3 linked regions of the Arabidopsis thaliana genome follow. The protein of the gene in region 3 purifies or fractionates together with the protein of the main gene of each other region. This does not show direct contact. Each region holds a gene or a part of one and is shown on either strand. Other genes may lie near its edges.

Region 1 (5,232 bases), on a different chromosome or scaffold from region 3:
TTTAGGCCCAATAAGAAGTCTCTCACGTGCGATTGCCAGGTTGGAACCGCTTTTTTATCTCTCATAAAGCACGTGCGAGTGCGACGATGTTTTAGTAACTGCTCTCCTTAATGGAATCCAGCTGTCATTCACACGAACATATTTTTTTACGAAATTCAAAAAAACTTTTTATCACGAGCCATTAATTTTTGAATTTTGCCACCCGTTGCCACCTCGATTTACGTGGCATTATCTAAACCGTCGATTCGATTTCGAATTACCAAATATTAGCCGTTAAAACCTCCTTTTCTTTATAAATGGACCCTCCTCTTCTTCTCTCTCTCATAAAACAAAAGATCCTCTCTGCTTCTCCTTTCCCTTTTTCAAAATCTCTCTCTCTCTCTCTCTTTTTAGATCCAGTTTTAGGGTTTTCTTCTCTGTGAGCGAAGATGCGTGAGATTCTTCATATTCAAGGAGGTCAATGCGGAAACCAAATCGGTTCCAAGTTTTGGGAAGTGGTTAATCTCGAGCACGGGATTGATCAGACGGGACGGTATGTAGGAGATTCCGAGTTACAGCTTGAGAGGGTTAATGTATACTACAACGAGGCGAGTTGTGGAAGGTACGTTCCTCGCGCTGTTCTCATGGATTTGGAGCCTGGAACCATGGACAGTGTCAGATCTGGTCCGTACGGTCAGATCTTTCGACCGGATAACTTCGTCTTCGGTCAGTCCGGTGCTGGGAATAACTGGGCTAAAGGTCACTACACTGAAGGTGCTGAGCTTATTGATTCGGTCCTTGATGTTGTTCGCAAAGAGGCTGAGAACTGTGACTGCCTTCAAGGTATTTGAAATCCGTCTTCCTTATTTAGGTTTTTGTCTATTTAGGTTTTTGGATCTGTAAATTTAGGTTGGGTATTGGTAGTGTATGATTGTTTTTAGGTTTAGATTTCTGATTTTGAACTGTGGAATACGGATTCGGTTTTGTATTCGTTGTTTGCTTATGGTTTTGGTTGTTTGGATTTACAGGATTTCAGGTGTGCCATTCCTTGGGAGGAGGAACTGGTTCTGGAATGGGAACTTTGTTGATATCTAAGATCAGGGAGGAGTACCCAGACCGTATGATGATGACTTTCTCTGTGTTCCCATCGCCTAAGGTGTCTGACACTGTTGTGGAGCCTTACAACGCAACACTATCTGTGCACCAGCTTGTTGAGAACGCTGATGAGTGTATGGTTCTTGACAACGAAGCTTTGTATGACATTTGCTTCCGTACACTCAAGCTTAGCACTCCAAGTTGTAAGTATTCCAATGTTCTTCGATTATGAGTCAATGTTGTTACTGTATCTGTCTCTGTGGTTTATTGTTTCAGGCTTAGTTATTGATTAGTATTGAAACTTCACTCACATATTTTTTTGTTTGTTTTCTGAATTGTGCAGTTGGTGATCTGAACCACTTGATCTCTGCAACCATGTCTGGTGTAACCTGCTGTCTTAGGTTCCCTGGTCAACTGAACTCTGATCTGCGAAAGCTAGCTGTGAATCTGATCCCATTCCCTCGTCTCCACTTCTTCATGGTGGGATTTGCTCCTCTCACCTCTCGTGGATCTCAGCAGTACCGTAACCTCACTGTCCCAGAGCTCACTCAGCAAATGTGGGATGCTAAGAACATGATGTGTGCTGCTGACCCAAGACACGGTCGCTACCTCACTGCTTCAGCCATGTTCCGTGGAAAGATGAGCACCAAGGAGGTCGATGAACAGATGCTGAACGTACAGAACAAGAACTCCTCCTACTTTGTGGAATGGATCCCTAACAACGTCAAATCAACCGTCTGTGACATTCCCCCTACTGGTCTGAAGATGGCTTCAACGTTCATTGGTAACTCAACTTCGATCCAAGAGATGTTCAGGCGTGTCAGTGAGCAATTCACTGCTATGTTCAGGAGAAAGGCTTTCTTGCATTGGTACACAGGTGAAGGTATGGATGAGATGGAGTTCACTGAAGCTGAAAGCAACATGAACGATCTTGTCTCTGAGTATCAGCAGTATCAAGATGCAACGGCTGATGAAGAAGGAGAATATGAAGAGGAAGAAGCTGAGTACGAGCAAGAAGAAACTTATTGAAGAAACAGATGATAAGAACACCTCAACTTCCAGTTGCTGTTTACTTTTAAAACTCTCTTCTATTAAGTTCTTATAGTTTCTGTAACTATCGCTTGCGTTATTAGTAGTTATGATACTCTGCGTAGGCTAAGAGGATTTATCAATCAATATTCAAACAATCTATTTTGCTAAATCAAAATCCATCCATAGTATTTTTTTTCTTTGTTTCATTATATAACCTTTTGTTAATTTTGACTATGTGAATTCGGTGAAGACTTCACCATCTTTCAAATATAAGAAGCAGAGTAGTAGTGACAATGGTTATAAGCAATATAAGAATCTTCTTGGTTAAATTTTGGTGTGGATTATGAATTTGACGAGTCAATTTGAAGGACGAATCTGGATTTAAGATAAAAATAGTATAAACTCCATAGGAGAATACAATGGTTATCAGTTGTTTTCAATGTCCATGGACCCAAATAGATCCCTCTGCCTCTTAAGCTCTTCTTCTTCAGCCTCCTCCTTACGCTTTTGTTCATCCTTATACTCAGCAACAGCCTTATCAAAAACGCTTCTCACATGTCTGTTCATTTGCATGAGCTCTTGACATGCATCTTTAAAAACCTCTCTTGCTGGATCACCTAAAAGCCACAGAGCCAACACGTTTTATGTTGTTAGACACACAGACAAAGAACTCGGATAAGAGTTATCCAAAAAGAACATAGCTTAACTCTGATGAACAGAGTTTTTGAAAAACAGTACCTGTTGTCTGGACCCGGATATTGACCTGTTCAAGGGAAGGATGTGGGATGGTGTATGCAGCCACGGTTACTCTGGGACTGCAGAATTGAAAACAGTACTGGTTATTGACATAATCATCATTGTCTACACACCAGCATATCAACTCCATCAACCTCAAAGATAAGATAATGTGACATTCATTGAATACAATGAGAATCTCTAACAACATAACATGAATGTAAACCAACATTTAATCGAACTCTCAAGTTTCACAATCACAATATAATGGCGAACTTAATGGACCAAACTCATCCAACGAAAGATATCGGAACAATAATGCCTCGTCACTGCTGTCTCTATCTAAGAGCTAATTCTAGACTATCTTTTCTAGTCTCTAACCACAGAACATGAATCTGAATCGAACTCAACCTTCACAATCACCTTATAATGGCACAAACATACAATGTGCACACTGATTATTCAAACAAAATTTGATTATCTTCACAATAATTCTAACCAAAAACAAAGGTAAAGACAGGTAAGAGATTCATTCCTAATGAGGGAAACTATGAACTCAATAATCAGAATTTGAGAGTGTCACGAACTAAGTATGAGATTATAAAGCTAAAGCCTTTCTCTGTGAAAGTGTATAGCTTCTTCTATATATATACATAACAGATTCAAAAGGATTGAAAGAAGAAGATACTTACTCTTGGTTTAAGACGAATCTAACAGCATTAGCAAGTGTGTGATCTTCTTCCGATAAAGTAAACGAAGCATGACTAACATTCGTGAACGAACCGTGCTCCATATCTCACCTTCTTGCTACTCAATTCCTTAACTCAAAATCAAAAATCCACCACCAACTAGAAAACACAGAAAGAGAACGACTTCAATTGAAAGCTTTGAATAGCTAAACAAACCCACAAAGAAAAACTCGAAATTGAAGAAAATTTCAGCAAAAAAAGTTGAGAGAGTAAGAAAGAAGATACCTCCAATAGAAATTTGCTAAAACCCTAAAAGCTTGATTAGTCGGCGACTTTTAGTCGTGGAGAAGCTCAGATACTTTAGCGTAATTACATCTATACCCTTTCGTTTGATGACGTGGCGTGTAATGTCTCTTAAACCCTAATTCGGCTGTGTAGCAAAAGAGAAGCCTTTGTTGTGTTCTTTACCTCTCTTCACGAAATCCCATTTGAGAAAGTAAGGATTTATGATCTTCAAATTCAAGTATGAATTATAAAGTTTCGATTTTTACGAATCATTAATTTTGTATTCAGGTACTGCTAAAAAAATGGCTTCTCCTATTCCCGTCGGCGTTACTAAGGAACAGGTTCGGTTTATTTGCTCGTCCTTTATTGTTAATACATCGTAAAGCTCCGATCTTTGATCTAATTAGACAATGGAAGCTTAAGTTTTTCTAGCTGTCTCTGTGATGACATATAGGTTTCAATGTTTTTGCAATGCTTAGGGTTTAAATTGTATCGTGATTCAGATCTTTAAGCCATTTATTAGATTTGGATTGGTGTTGTCAAGTTTCTCATTTTGCTTTTTTTTTTTGGTGTCTTGGATTTGAATCAGGCGTTTAGTATGGCACAAACGGAGATGGAGTATCGCGTGGAACTCTTTAACAAGTACTGAATCAAACACCCATTTGGTTTATCTTTCGTTATGAAATTCGATTTTCACTTGTGATTGCTTATCTGGTTTAATTTTGTTTTGATCACATTGTTTAGGGCTTCACTTATTTTCAAATAGTGATATATATAAGCTAGAGGAGTATAAGTTTGAGACTGCTGATATGTCGAAAATCCTTAGGCTGCCTGAATTGTTTATCTTGAGGAGGAAATCTAAAATCTTTCTATGAGGAATTCTCGAGTTCTGTGCATATGTATTCAGCTGTTATGTAGAGTTTAAACTTTGATAACATATGACTTAGGTGGTGTTCTGTTAATATTCATTTCCCCGGGCCATTTGTGATTCCTCTGGTTAGAGATTATGAAGAAAGTCACATCTTTATATGTGTTTCTTTTCCTTCTAATATACTTTGTGGTCTATTGTGATTCCTCGGGTTAGAGACTATGCTGACAGGCCTTGTTCTTGTATTGCAGGCTTGCTCAAACATGCTTTAATAAATGTGTGGATAAAAGGTAAACTATTTCTCCTTTTGATGTTCTATAATTACGTCGTGGAACTTGTCTGCAATTGTTGAAACTTTTCTTAGCTGAGAGATGAGTAAGTTGCACCTGTTTTGAGATTCTTTGCCTAATTCTCAGGTACAAGGAAGCTGAGCTAAACATGGGTGAGAATAGTTGCATCGACCGTTGTGTTTCCAAGTACTGGCAGGTAAGGCTCTCTGATACTTCAACAATTAACAATTTGATACTTCAAATCTTCTCATAGTTGACT
Region 2 (5,773 bases), on a different chromosome or scaffold from region 3:
ATACAAAGAAAAGAACATAATTCAACTCATTTTCACGGTTAAGGATCCAATAATTAAACGTAGAAGGAGACCTTTGGTATCAGATTTTCTTATGTATAGTGGAAAACTCTCAAAACTAGTATTTTGCATTTATATAAAAAAAAAAGATCTTAACAGAAGTATAGTAAACAAAGACTAGGAGAAGCCATGGATTTCGGTGGATTTCATGAGGAGGAAAAGGATGGTAACCTATTTCTGGAATATCATCATCCCAAGTATCATCCCAAACCAAAAACACATAGCCTATCTCCATCCGGTGAAGCAGTCAGCGATGACCATCTTCTTCAACCTCTTTTTTTATGCCCAAGTGCACGAAAATTTAAAGATAGAACTGGGAATATTTTCCCGCTCAATTCTTCCCCCGAGTTCGTCTTCTCTACAAGAAGTGCTACATATCATTCAGTACTCCCGTTGTTTTGGTGCAACAATAAAGAATTCGATATTGATGGTGGATGCAATATATGCCGTCACTCAAATTTTGGCACTGACTATTATTTTTGTGACATTTGCACGAAAAAGTATCACAAAGAATGCGTCGAGTCTCCACTTAAAATCAAACACCCTTATCACCCTCAGCATTCGCTCCAACTTTACTTTCACTTCCTTCTTTACAGTATTAATTGTTTATGCTGTAGAAGAAGAGTAAACTTCCTGGTATATTATTGTACCATATGTAACGTTTTCATGCATCCAGTATGTGCAGTGAAGCCAATACCCTTTGTTATAGACCCACCAAAAAGGCATGCCGACCATCCTCTCACTTTTTTTCCTAGACAAACTTCTTTAACTTGCAACTTTTGTGGTTTGGTGAGAAAACTATATCCCACCTACATATGTGTCAGATGCAACTTTGTGTTTCATAGTGATTGTATGTACTCTCCAAGCGTCATCAAGATATCACGTCACAACCATCGTATCTCCTACACTTTTTCTCTACGATCATGTGAATGGTCTTGTGGAGTTTTTCATCAAATTATTGACGGTGATTATGGTGCATATACTTGTGATAAGTGTGGTCATTATGCTGTTCATTCGAGATGTGCTCTAGAGAAAAATGTGTGGGATGGAAAAGATCTCGAAGGTTTACCAGACAAAGATGATATTACACAAGATGTTGGATCATTCAATATAATATCTAAGGAAGTGATACTTCATTTTCTCCATGACCATCATTTCCGGCTCGAAGTCAGTATACTTTATAACGAAAAAAAACTTTGTCAAGCGTGTTATTTACCTATTTTCGAAGGTAATTTCTATTCTTGTGTGGAGTGTGATGATTTCATCTTCCATGAAACATGTGCAAAATTTTGCAGGATATTACAACATGCATTACATCCTCATCCACTAACATTAAAAGCTGCAAGTAGATATGGTATGGATCGTTTTGGATGCAGTTCTTGTAATCGTGGTTGTCGTGGCTTTGTCTATGAGTGTTGCATAAGGGGATGTATCTTCACTCTAGATGTAAAATGTGCTTCAATTGCTGAGCCGTTTTGTTTCCAAGGTCATAAACATCCATTGTTCATATTTGTAGGCCGAGACGGAAAACTCATATGTCGCGTATGCAAAACAGAACGTCATAATCAATTAAATTGCATCAAATGTGATTTTATTGTTTGTATGAAGTGTGCTACATTACCCTATAGAGCAAGGTATGAACATGACAAACACTTTCTCACAGCTATATGGGAAGAAGAGGTCCGTGAAAAAGATTGGTGCGAAGTATGTGAACGTAATTTAAGAGACACAAACACAAAAGTGTTCTATTGGTGCGTTGAGTGCTGCACCATTTTCCATATTGAATGCGTACTAGGTAAAAACTCGAATTTGAGTCTAAGCCAAACTCTCAAATTCTGGGTTCAGCGGGCTCAAATTCTTTTAGAAAATCTTAATCTGTAATAGACTAATAGACAATATTTCCAAGCATTCAGTGAGTTATATAGCTCTACCTCTCTATTCAAATGTAATTTGTTTTCTTCATATTTGTCTCCTTGGTTTGTGTTTGAAAAAAAATAAAATAAAAAAAGTCTCCTTGGTTTGTTAAGTTCAGTATATTGTTCAATAAACATATTTCAGAATAAATTTTTATAATAAAAATATATCTTAATAAACATTTGATCCAAAATAAATATATATTCAACTAATTATAGTGTATATTTAATATAAATATTTATATTTCTTTTGTTAAATGGTTTCCTTGAATTAATACAACCACTTGTAACTAAAAAACTTTGATATTCTCCGGTTATAAAATGGGAGCTCCATTCAAATTGTTTTTATGTGCTCTGTTCTCATTACCAATTTGATATCGTACAAAAAGAGCTGCTTCCTACTCGTGATCTAGATTGTAGATTTGAACCTTATCAAATGTGTGATCTTTACTATTTATCAGGATTAGATTACCAAAAACAAATCAATAGATGATGACTCTACAGGCTTGAGCTTTATTTTTGGCTCGAAAAATTGTCTAGATTTCTAAAACCGAACAAGAACATCAGAAAACATTGAAATATCAACATTCCTAGTTATAAATTAAACCAAAATTTCTGAAACATTGTGGTTTTATTAAGACGCCCACATGGATGAGATGCATCACTCCTTCACTTCAGCTCTTGATGATTTGTTATTCATTATAGCATCTTTTTTTAATTGGGGTCGGATTTCTCCATAGCTGCAAAAGAGAAGTATTCGAATAAGCAAGTTAACAAAAAGAATAGAGCAGAGGCAACACAAGGCAAAAGAACCGGGTATGGAGATATTACTGTTGTAGTTTAGAAGCTTTTCGATTAGATCGACATGAGTCATAAGCATACGCCTGCAGCAGTAACGGACTAATCCAAGCGCGTCAAGAGCATCCCTGCGTATTCCAAAACCAAAATTCAGATTTTCAGTTCAACAAAATGCAATTTTAGCATAATGCCTAAAACCAAAGTAGCTAAAAGATTAGATAGAAACAAGAGAATGGAATATATCAGTGATCACCTACCATCATGCTCTTTACTAACACTTAAGATAACATCTATGAACTTCAAGATGATCAAATTGCAACTAAAACAAAAACGAAATTGCGCAATTCCAAATCATGTAGCTTAACACCTAGAACCAAACGGGCTAAAGATTACACTAGCGATTAAAACAAGAAAATCGAAAAATCCCAATGATCTAACTTCATGCTTTTAGTAACAAGGCTAAAACATGTATAAACTTTCAAGATGATCATACAAGACAAGATCATGCAATCTCTTTGACTACACAAAACCATCAAATCATTCTATTGTCATGTTCCACTATTGTTTCATCTTTTACATGACTCTCATTTCAACTAAGAAAATGTCAGAAAACGTTCAAAATTCCAAGATTCAATCACTCTCATGTTCACCAAAAAAATTTCTCACAAATTATGATTCTTTTTCTAATCATAAACTATATATCGCTTACCCTTCAGCGTAATCAGCCTGGAGAAGTTCAAGGTATGTGTCCCATTTGTTCCCAATCACCTACAAAAAATCATAAACAAAAGCTTCATAAATCTCAATACTACAAACCCTAGAGATTTGTCACACACATATATATATAACAAATCGAAATCGTACAAAAAGAGAGAAGAAAAAACAAACCTTTCCACAAGTAAAACAACGAACAGGGACGATCATCGTGAACGAATCGAAACTTTAAGAGTTTATCGTCTCAAAGCGATCTTTAGGGCTTGTCTCTTTCTAACTTCGTTCTCGTCTCAAAGCAAAAATTAGTTTCATGTCTAATTATTATTGCTTTATATATTGAGTCCTATTATGTGTTTTAGCTAAAACGATACCGTATTAGTTAAAATTATTTATTTTATATCTGACAATAGAGGAGGAAAAGTATTCTTCTTCTTCTTCTTCTTCATCTGCTCGATCTTTTACATTTCCGGTAAGATCAAAATCAAAACCAAGTTCGTTTCGCGGCGGAGGAGAAGAAGAATCAGACGGGAAAATGTTGGAGAAGATCGGATTACCGCCGAAGCCATCTCTAAGAGGAAATAGTTGGGTCGTTGATGCTTCTCATTGTCAAGGATGTTCTTCTCAATTCACTTTCATCAATCGCAAGGTCTTCCTCTCTCTTAATTTCCTTACTCTCTCTATCAATTGGTACTTGCTTATTGCTATCGCGATCTTTAGATTCTTAGTTTCTTCGATCGAAATTTAGTTTCGTCTTAGTCGATTCTTCTTCGAGATCTAATTCAGAATCTGTTTATCGGAAAACTTCACTGAATGATCGGTTTCTGGTGATGTGCCTATTTGATAGATTCCATATTTTTGAGTAAATTTGGTGAATCTGGATGTTTTGTGGTTTGTGTATTACTAGACTTGTGACTTGCTGGATTCTTCTATGTCTCCCAAAAACCTTTGAATTTGCTTAATTTTTCTTAGTTTCTGTTGGCTTTGTTTTTTTGAGCGAGCAGCATCATTGCCGGAGATGTGGGGGATTGTTCTGTGGAACCTGCACTCAGCAAAGGTTGTCACTACGTGGACAAGGTGACTCACCTGTGCGTATATGTGAACCATGTAAGAAAATTGAAGAAGCTGCACGGTTTGAGTTGCGTCATGGTTACAAAAATAGAGCTGCTAAAGGTATTTATGTACCTATAGTGATCTTATTTATGACACTTTTGTGTTATCTGCTAGTTTTTGATGTAAAGAGATTGTGAATTTGTTCAGGAGGTAGCTCGAAAAGGACTGTAAAGAATGAGGATGATGTTCTCAGTGAGATTCTAGGCTCTGATGTTGATGTATCTTCTTCATCTGAATCTGTGTCTAGCACAGACAGGAATGCTTCTAAAGAAATGGCAAGTAGCAGTAGTAATAAAGGTATGGAGTTGGATGCTAGTCCTGAAGAATTGCGTAAACAAGCAGTAGAAGCGAAGAATAAGTACAGAATTCTTAAAGGAGAAGGGAAATCTGATGAAGCTCTAAAAGCATTTAAGAGAGGGAGGGAACTTGAGAGAGAGGCCGACGCATTAGAGATATCTTTAAGAAGGAACCGGAAAAGGGAACTGTCTATGCGAAATGTTGCTGAGACGCAGAACAAGGCTGCTACCAAAGAATCTAGCAAATCACAAAAGCCTCTACGTCAAGGGGGTAAAGGAAATGATGATTTGGCAGCTGACCTGAGGGAGCTTGGGTGGTCTGACGATGAAGATAAGAAACCAGCAACTATAAGTTTGGAGGGCGAATTTTCGTCTCTTCTCCGTGAAATTCCGCGAAGTGCTAATCCTCAGAAGACTGGGGGTATTGACAAGAGTCAGGTAATTGCCCTTAAGAGAAAAGCCCTTACGCTGAAACGTGAAGGGAAGCTTGCGGAAGCTAAAGATGAACTGAAAAAGGCTAAAATTTTGGAAAGGGAACTGGAAGAGCAGGAACTTTTGGGTGGAGCTGATGGATCAGATGATGAGCTATCTGCACTTATTAATAGTATGGATGATGACAAAGAAGATGATCTGTTAGCTCAATACGAGGGAAGCCATGATTTCGACATTAGTAACCTTGTGGGAAATTTAGATGATATTGGAGTTCATGGTGAATATGATGTCACAGATGAAGATATGGAGGACCCAGCAATCGCTGCTGCATTGAAATCTTTGGGTTGGAGTGAGGATCCTGGACACCATGAGAATGTCCACTCTCGACCATCTCCTAAAAACAGAGATGAAAGTTTAGCTGAAATTCAGACATTGAAAAGAGAGGCCCTTAAT
Region 3 (8,584 bases):
TCAAAACTAGTCTCACTTAAAACAAGCTGCAAATAACATTGATTCATTATCCAAAATTGAAACCTTCCTCAGCACAAAATCTATAAAATTTGAATGAAATAACTTAAACAAATTCGTAGTATTACCAGCTTAACTGCGACTTCTTCTCCAGTTTGAATATTGATCCCTAAATCATACACACATAGATTACACTTCAACAACAACTAAACAAACCCAATGCAAGAACTAGTAAACACTCTCAAGATGTGAATAGATTGATTTGATACCTAAATAAAGTTCACCGAATGATCCACTTCCAAGCTTCCTACCCAACTTAAACTTCCCGCCGATAACGTGATCCATCTTTTGATTCCGATCCATCTTTTTCCGAATTCCGATGATAATCCGATTCACCAGTAAAACCCGATTCTCATATACTTAATACGGTTCCAATCAAAACCCTAGTCGCTAAATCAGAAACTGGGTCCAAAGCAAACACAGTGATTGAAGGAAGCTGATTTAGTGGTGAAAGTTGAGGACTTTCGCAAGAAAAGAGAAAGAAAGTTGTTTTCTTTTACTTGGAGAAAGAAGAAGAATCTCTGGGGGGACAAAGAATTAGAAGAATCGGATCTGAGTTTGAGGGAAGATTTTGCGGAGATTTGCGGAAGAAAAGAGAAAGAGAAAGAAGAAGAAGGGAATAATAAAGAAATGAATATGTGAAAATTGAATTTAACCTAAAGAAAGACAAAACTTCAACGTAAATATTTATCATTCATTGAATCTTTTTATTTTATTTTTGTATACTGTTTTTTTTTTAATTACTTAGAAGAAAAAATTAGTTGTTTTCGTGCACGGTTTAACATTTAAATTCTCTGTTTTCTAACGACCAAAACTCTAATTCGTAATAACCATAAACATCACTTAATCAACAACAACACGAAACAAGTTTGCAAAACTTTATAATATATTTTTATTAAAAACAGAATCTACCACCAAAAAAAAAAGTTCTACATTTGTCATTTTTCAAGCTGAAATTTTCATTTTACGTTTATATATTTTGATACATTATTGGGGATAGAGTATAATCTCATTAAGATTATCACTATATATCTTGTGATAGAGTTATGTCCTATATTTTAGGGATTAGAGTATATCTCATAAGATGTCTCTCTTGTATAAATACTATACTTTGTGAATCAATAAAATCAAGTTAGTGCAATACCTAAGTCTACATACATCACCCAATTTACATTGATTTATTTAAGTTTTTTTTTACTCATTTACTAATCGTACCAATATGTTGATGAACATTTTTGGATTTAAACTGTCAACAAATCGTGTACTAGCGCAATATTATCATATTATCACTTTGTTCTATCTTATGATCTCTCGCTTGGACAGATTCTGGAAGTGCATGTAAAGGACCTGATTTTATAAAAGTTCAAACAATTTAAAAAAGAAAGCATCCATTTACTTGTGGATCTCCCGAACGCTTGGTAACGTCGATACATGGAACACTTGTTGATGAGTCTTGAGAAATCAAGCTCATACTTAATAACCAGTTTACATGTCGTTAGTAGATCTTCTCGATGAACTCATGAACACAGTGTGAAATTCATGAGTTTCTTCTATATGGTAATTTAGTAGGATAGCTAATGTTCTTCTATGCTATATTAAGCATTTTGTTTTTACTTTCATTTTCAATATGAAAATTAACATGTGTCTCTAAAGGTAAACGTGTTAGGACCATTCATCTTGAGTCAAGTGATATTTCACATGCATGGGAAACAAAACTTATTGATAATTGTATACAATGACTAAAGTTTTATAATGTTTATGAAACTTTCGGATTGTATACAATGACTAAAGTTTTATAATGTTTATGAAACTTTCGGTATTGTTAAAGTATTATGATGGTCAATGAAACTAGGCAAAAATAAGTCAAAGAGAATAAGAAAAATTATCCATAAGTAAGCAAGCTTATAATAGATGCGTATGATTATATCAACTATAGTGTTTATAGGCTTCCATCGTTGACGATATTACATTATTTATAGTTTAGATTTTAGAATACGTTTGATGAAATGGCTTTTGGTTTAAGTGGCCTAAGCTTTTTGCTTTTATTTGTCCATTTGTCACACCCGTTGTTTTCTTGTCGTTTGGACATCCCACGGTAAGAATTTATGTCGGGAACTTTTAACAAATCAAACTAGGCATGCAATAACGGTTATGTCGGATTATTCGGGTTTTTGGATAGTTCAAAAATTGAAAATTTTGATGAATTTGATTAAAACACGAAACCGTGTAAAACCAACCTAAAAATCCAAGGTGTTTTGTTTTTTACATTCAAGAAAAGCAAACTTACACAGACAAAGTTGTTTTTTAACAGTCATATAAATCTCTACCAGAAGATCAAATTGGACAGTTTTTAAAACTCCAAACCAACATTCCATCACACGAGTTCTTGATAACTTGAAAGACAAATCGAATCCTCATGTCACCTATTCCTCTTCTCTTTCCGGAGGAAGGCCGCAGGGTAATAGCATTTTCTGGAAATCAAAAGACATCTCAAGTTATTCCAAAACATCATCACATCTACAAAGTGTAACCAATTTTTTGAGCAAAGAACACCCCACAAATATTCATATTTTTCTATGCTTTTCGATTAACCCTCAAGAAGACCATATATTCAGATATAAGAGATCGCTATCACAAGATTATTCAACCATGTAAGAGACCTGTTTCATGAAAAAACTGAAAGCCAAGGCGAGCTCACAACTGTTTGTGAAAGGAACTAAGCTTCCATTAATTTGAGAATTGAGGACAAATGAAAACATTTGAGTGAGAGACCACACCATAACCTAATGCTCTATAATCTAATTGTAACCTACACAACTGGAGGCTGCTGAATGGTCAGTGAAATGTGAAGTCCATAGTCTAGGAAATCAACATATCACGACAAATAGAGAAATACGCCATTGACAAGACCTAAACTAAAACCATACAACAAATCAATGAATCTGAAAAGGAAAAGGAATGAGATATACCACAAGATAACCACGAAATGATACATTCCTAATCGACTACACATAGAATCATAATCCAAACCTTGAACTGTAGATTTGTCACTAGATAAAGGATGAGGCAAAAGGAAAGTACAGAATTTTACTGATAAGATTCCTATTAACACAGAGAATAGGAAGCAAACCTACATGAAATTCTAACCTATCACACATTTCAACCATGCAAGAGGCGAATAAACCGAAACCAACCGAGTTGAGTAAGACCATGACCCAACGCTCTCTAATATAATTGTATCCTACAGAACTAGAGGCTGCTGAAATAGTCAGTCAAAACTGAAGTCCATGGTCTAAGAAATCAAAATATCACGACGAATAGACAAATACGACATTTAACAGTAAACTAAAAACCATACAACAAAGCAATAAATCTGGAAGGCAACATAAGTTACATAACCATATGATACGCACCTAATCAAATAAACATAGAATCATAATCCAAATCTTGAACTGTAGATTTGTCACTAGAGAAAGTAATATGCAAAAGACATGAAAGGAGGCAAACCTGCATGAAATTGTAGCGTTCTCGTCCAATAGACTCGTTCTCAGCAATAGCAAAGTATGAAAGCATAGGGTAGTGACCAATGTATGAAGCATAACTATCACGCTGAATGTTCACAGCCCACTCACTGTACCATTTAAACCAATTCCACAAATTAGTAGCCAATAAAAACAATGCATATAAAAATTTGAACACTAAAATCAAAAGAAACTCACAATCTACTCAAATCAGCATGACCGGTTCCAACATATTTAGCTTGAAGATGCTCAAGCTGAGAATTGATGTTAAACCTATCACTTGCCTGCAAAAGAAAAAAACCCAAACCAAAAGATGTTAAATTTAAAGCAAATTGTTCCCGATTTCATCTATATATGCTTTATAAGAAACAAATCGACCTAATTTCGTCTAAGCCAATTCTCTTCGACATAGATAAATTAAACAGACAGAGAATCAAAGGTAGAAGAAGCTAATTAGGTTATTTCTTCTTCCAATTTACCAACAAAAGCTAGGGTTTCGGATCGAGAACATACCTGCATCTTTTTCAGAGTTTCGCAGCAACTAGAAGAAGAAGAAGAAGAAGAAGAAGAAGAAGAAGAAGAAGAAGAAGATCTAAACCCTATCTTTCTTCAAGTCCTTTATCTGCTAATTGTTTTCGGTTAATATTTAAATCCGAAATAACCGACCGGTTCGTTCGGTGTACCCGAAGTAGTAGATCATAAAATGAAAACGTGGTCGTTTCACATAATAAAGAAGTTAAGGCAAGAAGCTTGGAATTTGGCTAACAATTGTGGATTCTTTAATCATTATCAATCTACAGAATACAAACAAAAGTGGCTGTAGTTTAGTGGTTAGAATCCCACGTTGTGGCCGTGGGGACCTGGGCTCGAATCCCAGCAGCCACACTTAGTCTTTTTTCTTTTTTATACTATTTTGACATTTGAAGAAGGTCTCTTAAGGGCCTACGAATACTCATAGAGGTACATTTGTTCTCTACTTCTTTTGTATGCACTTTTTAGTCTTCAGTCTTCACACGCAATTGGTTCCAAAGGCCTACATATAGTGTAGACTGTAGACTTTTAGCACCAAATCTGAGGTGCCATTAAGCCATCTGTTTCACTCTTGAGTGTACTCAATTAAACACATTCAGTGAGAACAGTTTTTCAGATTGGCGCTTTTTCTAATCTAATAAATAGTAAATACTTTTGCTTATAGCATTAGAGGGTGAAGATTTCATCTTGAGGTTTAGTAGTACAACCAAGTTTTGATTAACCAAAAAAAAAAAAATCAAATACCAAAGCTCACCTTCTCTCCCTGTGAAAATAAATAAACAAGCCAATTCCGAAAAGAATATTTACTTTTTCACTTTTCTATGTTGAAAACAATTAAACAAATCCATCTTTCTCCTCTGGGAGAGCCTTCGCTTCCACTGGAGAGACTGTACTTTGTTGAAAAACCCCTGCTAACTCCAACTTTTAACAGTCGTTTAGAGAAAGCAAAAGGCTTTCAACGAAATCAACAACACACATGTTAATATAACAAGAGTCTTCTGGTTCAGGCTGTGCAATGTGTCAAATGAAATTCACCCGGATGAGCTCGACTTACTACCTTCTTTCTCTGGATCTTCAATCTGCGTCGGTAGTAGATTCAAAAAGCTTCCTTGGTGGGTTGTTGTCCCACCAGATGTTTCGTCTTCTGTTAATTTAGTTTCCACAGTTTGGTTAGAGAGAATCAAACATGGATCGTAATCATCTTGATTTTACAAATAGCATACAAACAGATGATTTACCAAAGAGAGATTTAATAGACGGCCTTTTTGGCTTATTGCTCTTCTTCTTCAACTCAGCTGCACAATAAAACAAATTACAAATGCAGCAAACATGCGATGATAATCACAAGGTAATCTAGTATTGTTGCTTCTTCCTCAGCAACGGAAGGGGGGTTAAGTGAATTACCTATCCCTGGTATTTGGTCATCATTTACGATTTCTACGTTCTTGTAAGTATAACCAACAAAGTTAATGTCTTTGGATGAGAGCATCTGGAGAAGAAAAAAAGAAAGCCAGCGTCATGTTATGAAATTCACAAGAATCCTTTTGGTTCATGACATAAATTCTATTGACAGAACAGGTTCTAAGTTATATCATGTTGGTCCAAAAAGATAAGTGATTCATCTAACACACGTCAACATGCAGAACTGGCAGATTAACAACATAATTCTGTTAGTAGCATCCCAATCAGCTCCAAATTCTAAATTACCATAAGAAAATTTGAACCTAAAAGAGTGAATCACGTTTTTGTGAATATAGTACAAAGATAGAAACGCCTGTGACAGAAACTGAGCCAATTTCATCATTCTGAGCTCTTTGTTGCATGTAATATTTTAAGCTACGTCTGTAGTATCATCAAAGAACAACATATCTCAAGGAACCCACTTATAGATAAATTTTGAAGTATGATCACTCTTCTATTAGATAAAAAAAAAAAGCTTGATGGTACATAATGCCAAAAAGTCAGTGCTTATGCTGTACCTTTCTCCATGGACCTGACTTGGCTGACTTTGGAACTTGCTTGTCAGTCTGTTCCAGAAGGAATCAAAGAAGAGTATACATTATTTTCCTTATCAGGAGCATAAAAATCATCTGTGATACCAATATTTCAGTATATACATCATGCCACATCATTTGGTGGCATATATTGCACCAATATTTCACTATAGACATCATTAGCTGATAGTATCAGTGTGTTACCTCTTCAAATTTCTCAAAATTTTGGGTGTCCAACTCATCATTAACTTGGGGAATAAAGGCAGCTTTCATTTGATACAATTTTCCCCATTCTGTGCCTCTAAACCAAGGGTGACCCTGAAAGAAACCAGTCAAATCGTTTTTAAGAATTGCACACAATGATCTTACATAAGGGAACTTTGAATCTCAAAGTTGAACAACGCATACAACACCTTAATTTCATCTGCTCCTTTTGTTCCAAGCCTTTGTTCAACATTGCATAAAAGCCTACAAATAAGATCCTTGGCTTCTGGTGATAGTCTAACCTCATCTGGGAATTTCAAGTAATTTCTCCAATTTACTATCTGCATAAGGGGGAAGATAATGAATCGAGAAGAGGTAAGTTTCCACATTAGAATTACCAAAGAGATACAAAAAGACTAAAATTAAATGTAAGACTTGAAATCGCCAGTCTGCCTTCAATATTAAAATGAAAGATTCAAAAAGGAATGGATTAATTACCTTCCTACAAGTTGTCATTGGGTCATCTGAATAAAAGGGCGGAAACCCCACAAGCATTTCATACATAATGGCGCCAAGAGACCACCTAAATCTCAAGATTATTCACCCATATTATTTATTTACACCAAAGAAATCAAAGACCACAAATAGGAATAGGTTGGCTTCACCTACCAATCACATTCCATTCCATATCCTTTTTTCAACAGAACTTCTGGGGCAATATAGTCAGGAGTGCCAACTGTGGAATAAGCCTGAAAGTAATGACCTTAACCTAGTAAGTCATATCTAACATAGATGTCTATATCAATGGAGAGAATTTGCTTTCAATAACGAAATATACTGGATACTGTGGACTACTCCACATCTCTGGAAGAAAAGATGAGGAATAAGTGAAACTTACAAGCATCCTTCTATTTCTCTGCCAGTTTAGTAATTGCTCTTGTTGGGTGCGTCTTGTCGCCACAGGGCGACCATCACTTTGTAAAGCCCCACTAACGTTTCTTGCAACTGTAAAGTCTTTCTCTTGAAGATTACTACAGTCTAATGGTTTACATAATCCAAAATCTGACAATTTCATGTGGCCGTCTTTGTCAAGTAGCAGATTATCAGGCTTGATATCTCTGTATCACATTGGAGAAAAAAAGACGTTTAGAACAAAATAACAATGGGAGCTAGAACTAAATCATATATTCTGCTTCACTGACCTGTGAATGTAGTTGTGCTTATGAATGGACTCAATAGCCAGGACAGTTTCCCCAATATAAAACCTGGCCTCGTCTTCAGTGAGGGTGTCTTTCCTCATAAGTAAAGTCATCATATCCCCACCAGGTAAATACTCCATTATGAGATACAAGTACTCTTCATCTTGGAAAGAACAATACAGTTTGACAATGCAATTGCTATCAACTTCTGCAAGTAAATTTCTCTCTGCTTTTACATGTTCCACCTGAAAATCAGATTCCACATTCACATCAACCAACTAAACAAATGTCAAACGAAAGCCACTTGAAGGAATTTAAATACCTGGCCTCTGCGAAGCATCTCAGATTTCTTAAGCTTCTTCATTGCATAGACATTGCCTGTTCCCTTCTCCCTACAGATCCTAACCTGCAAAGAGAAAGAGAAAAATTAGCATGCCATACTTTTTTGAAAAATTAGCTGTGGTAAAAAAAATGGCCTAAGAAGACCTTTCAAGAAGGATGCATCACAGAGAACATTTCAAGATGATGCATGCCAATGAGAGGCTGAGAAAACAGAGTAACAGACTATGATCTATAAAAGAGATGTTACCTCTCCGAATGCACCCTTCCCAATCATTGTCAATGGCTCAAAGTCATCAGCTCCCATTTTATGCCTCTGACGGCGCATATATTCAGTTTCCTTCATCTCCAAATCCTTTAGCAAGTTATTTTGCTCTTCCTCAGAGACTTCTGCAGCAGCTAATTTTTTCTCTAGCATTTTGCGTCTGTATGAAATGTAAATACCAAACAAAGAGCTAAGGATATGGACGGAAGTTCACACGAAAGTAGCAGAAAGACACGAATAAAGTTCTTTCCCATCATGAAAACTTGAAACATATAAATATGTAATGAAACCATACCGCTCCTTTCTTTCCTGCAGACTCTGCATTTGCATTTTGTAATGGTTTTCAATATACAGTTTTGCAGCAGCAGCCTTCTCCTTAGTTATATTTGAAAGTGCTTCTTCACCTCCAGCTGTTTTCGGTCCTTCCTTTACATTACTTGTGGCTTCCTTCTTTTTCGAAGATTTCACCTTGTC

What was found.
Region 1: the proteins of AT4G14342 (region 3) and RPC14 fractionate together in Arabidopsis thaliana (co-fractionation; one large-scale study listed by BioGRID). This does not show direct contact.
Region 2: the proteins of AT4G14342 (region 3) and AT1G61700 fractionate together in Arabidopsis thaliana (co-fractionation; one large-scale study listed by BioGRID). This does not show direct contact.

The regions. Positions count from the first base shown.
Region 1 is NC_003071.7:12,641,129-12,646,360, reverse strand, and holds RPC14 (RNApolymerase 14 kDa subunit), read right to left. Parts: upstream 3,534-5,232; 5' UTR 3,074-3,533; coding exon 2,845-3,073; intron 2,724-2,844; coding exon 2,533-2,723; 3' UTR 2,417-2,532; downstream 1-2,416. Other genes in the region: TUB7 (tubulin beta-7 chain), read left to right, coding at 429-822, 1,008-1,277, 1,418-2,103; TIM10 (Tim10/DDP family zinc finger protein), read left to right, coding at 4,118-4,156, 4,405-4,457, 4,582-4,653, 4,935-4,973, 5,100-5,169.
Region 2 is NC_003070.9:22,785,024-22,790,796, reverse strand, and holds AT1G61700 (RNA polymerases N / 8 kDa subunit), read right to left. Parts: upstream 3,786-5,773; 5' UTR 3,693-3,785; coding exon 3,657-3,692; intron 3,537-3,656; coding exon 3,478-3,536; intron 2,897-3,477; coding exon 2,802-2,896; intron 2,711-2,801; coding exon 2,685-2,710; 3' UTR 2,417-2,684; downstream 1-2,416. Other genes in the region: AT1G61710 (Cysteine/Histidine-rich C1 domain family protein), read left to right, coding at 221-681, 903-1,285, 1,574-1,938; AT1G61690 (phosphoinositide binding protein), read left to right, coding at 4,015-4,128, 4,484-4,652, 4,740-5,773.
Region 3 is NC_003075.7:8,251,309-8,259,892, forward strand, and holds AT4G14342 (Splicing factor 3B subunit 5/RDS3 complex subunit 10), read right to left. Parts: upstream 4,297-8,584; 5' UTR 4,098-4,296; coding exon 4,092-4,097; intron 3,863-4,091; coding exon 3,777-3,862; intron 3,689-3,776; coding exon 3,475-3,688; 3' UTR 3,192-3,474; intron 2,529-3,191; coding exon of another isoform or gene 2,481-2,528; 3' UTR 2,228-2,480; downstream 1-2,227. Other genes in the region: CKI1 (casein kinase I), read right to left, coding at 126-166, 267-360; AT4G14350 (AGC (cAMP-dependent, cGMP-dependent and protein kinase C) kinase family protein), read right to left, coding at 5,141-5,253, 5,348-5,404, 5,514-5,598, 6,089-6,136, 6,308-6,421, 6,517-6,648, 6,806-6,890, 6,977-7,056 and 5 more.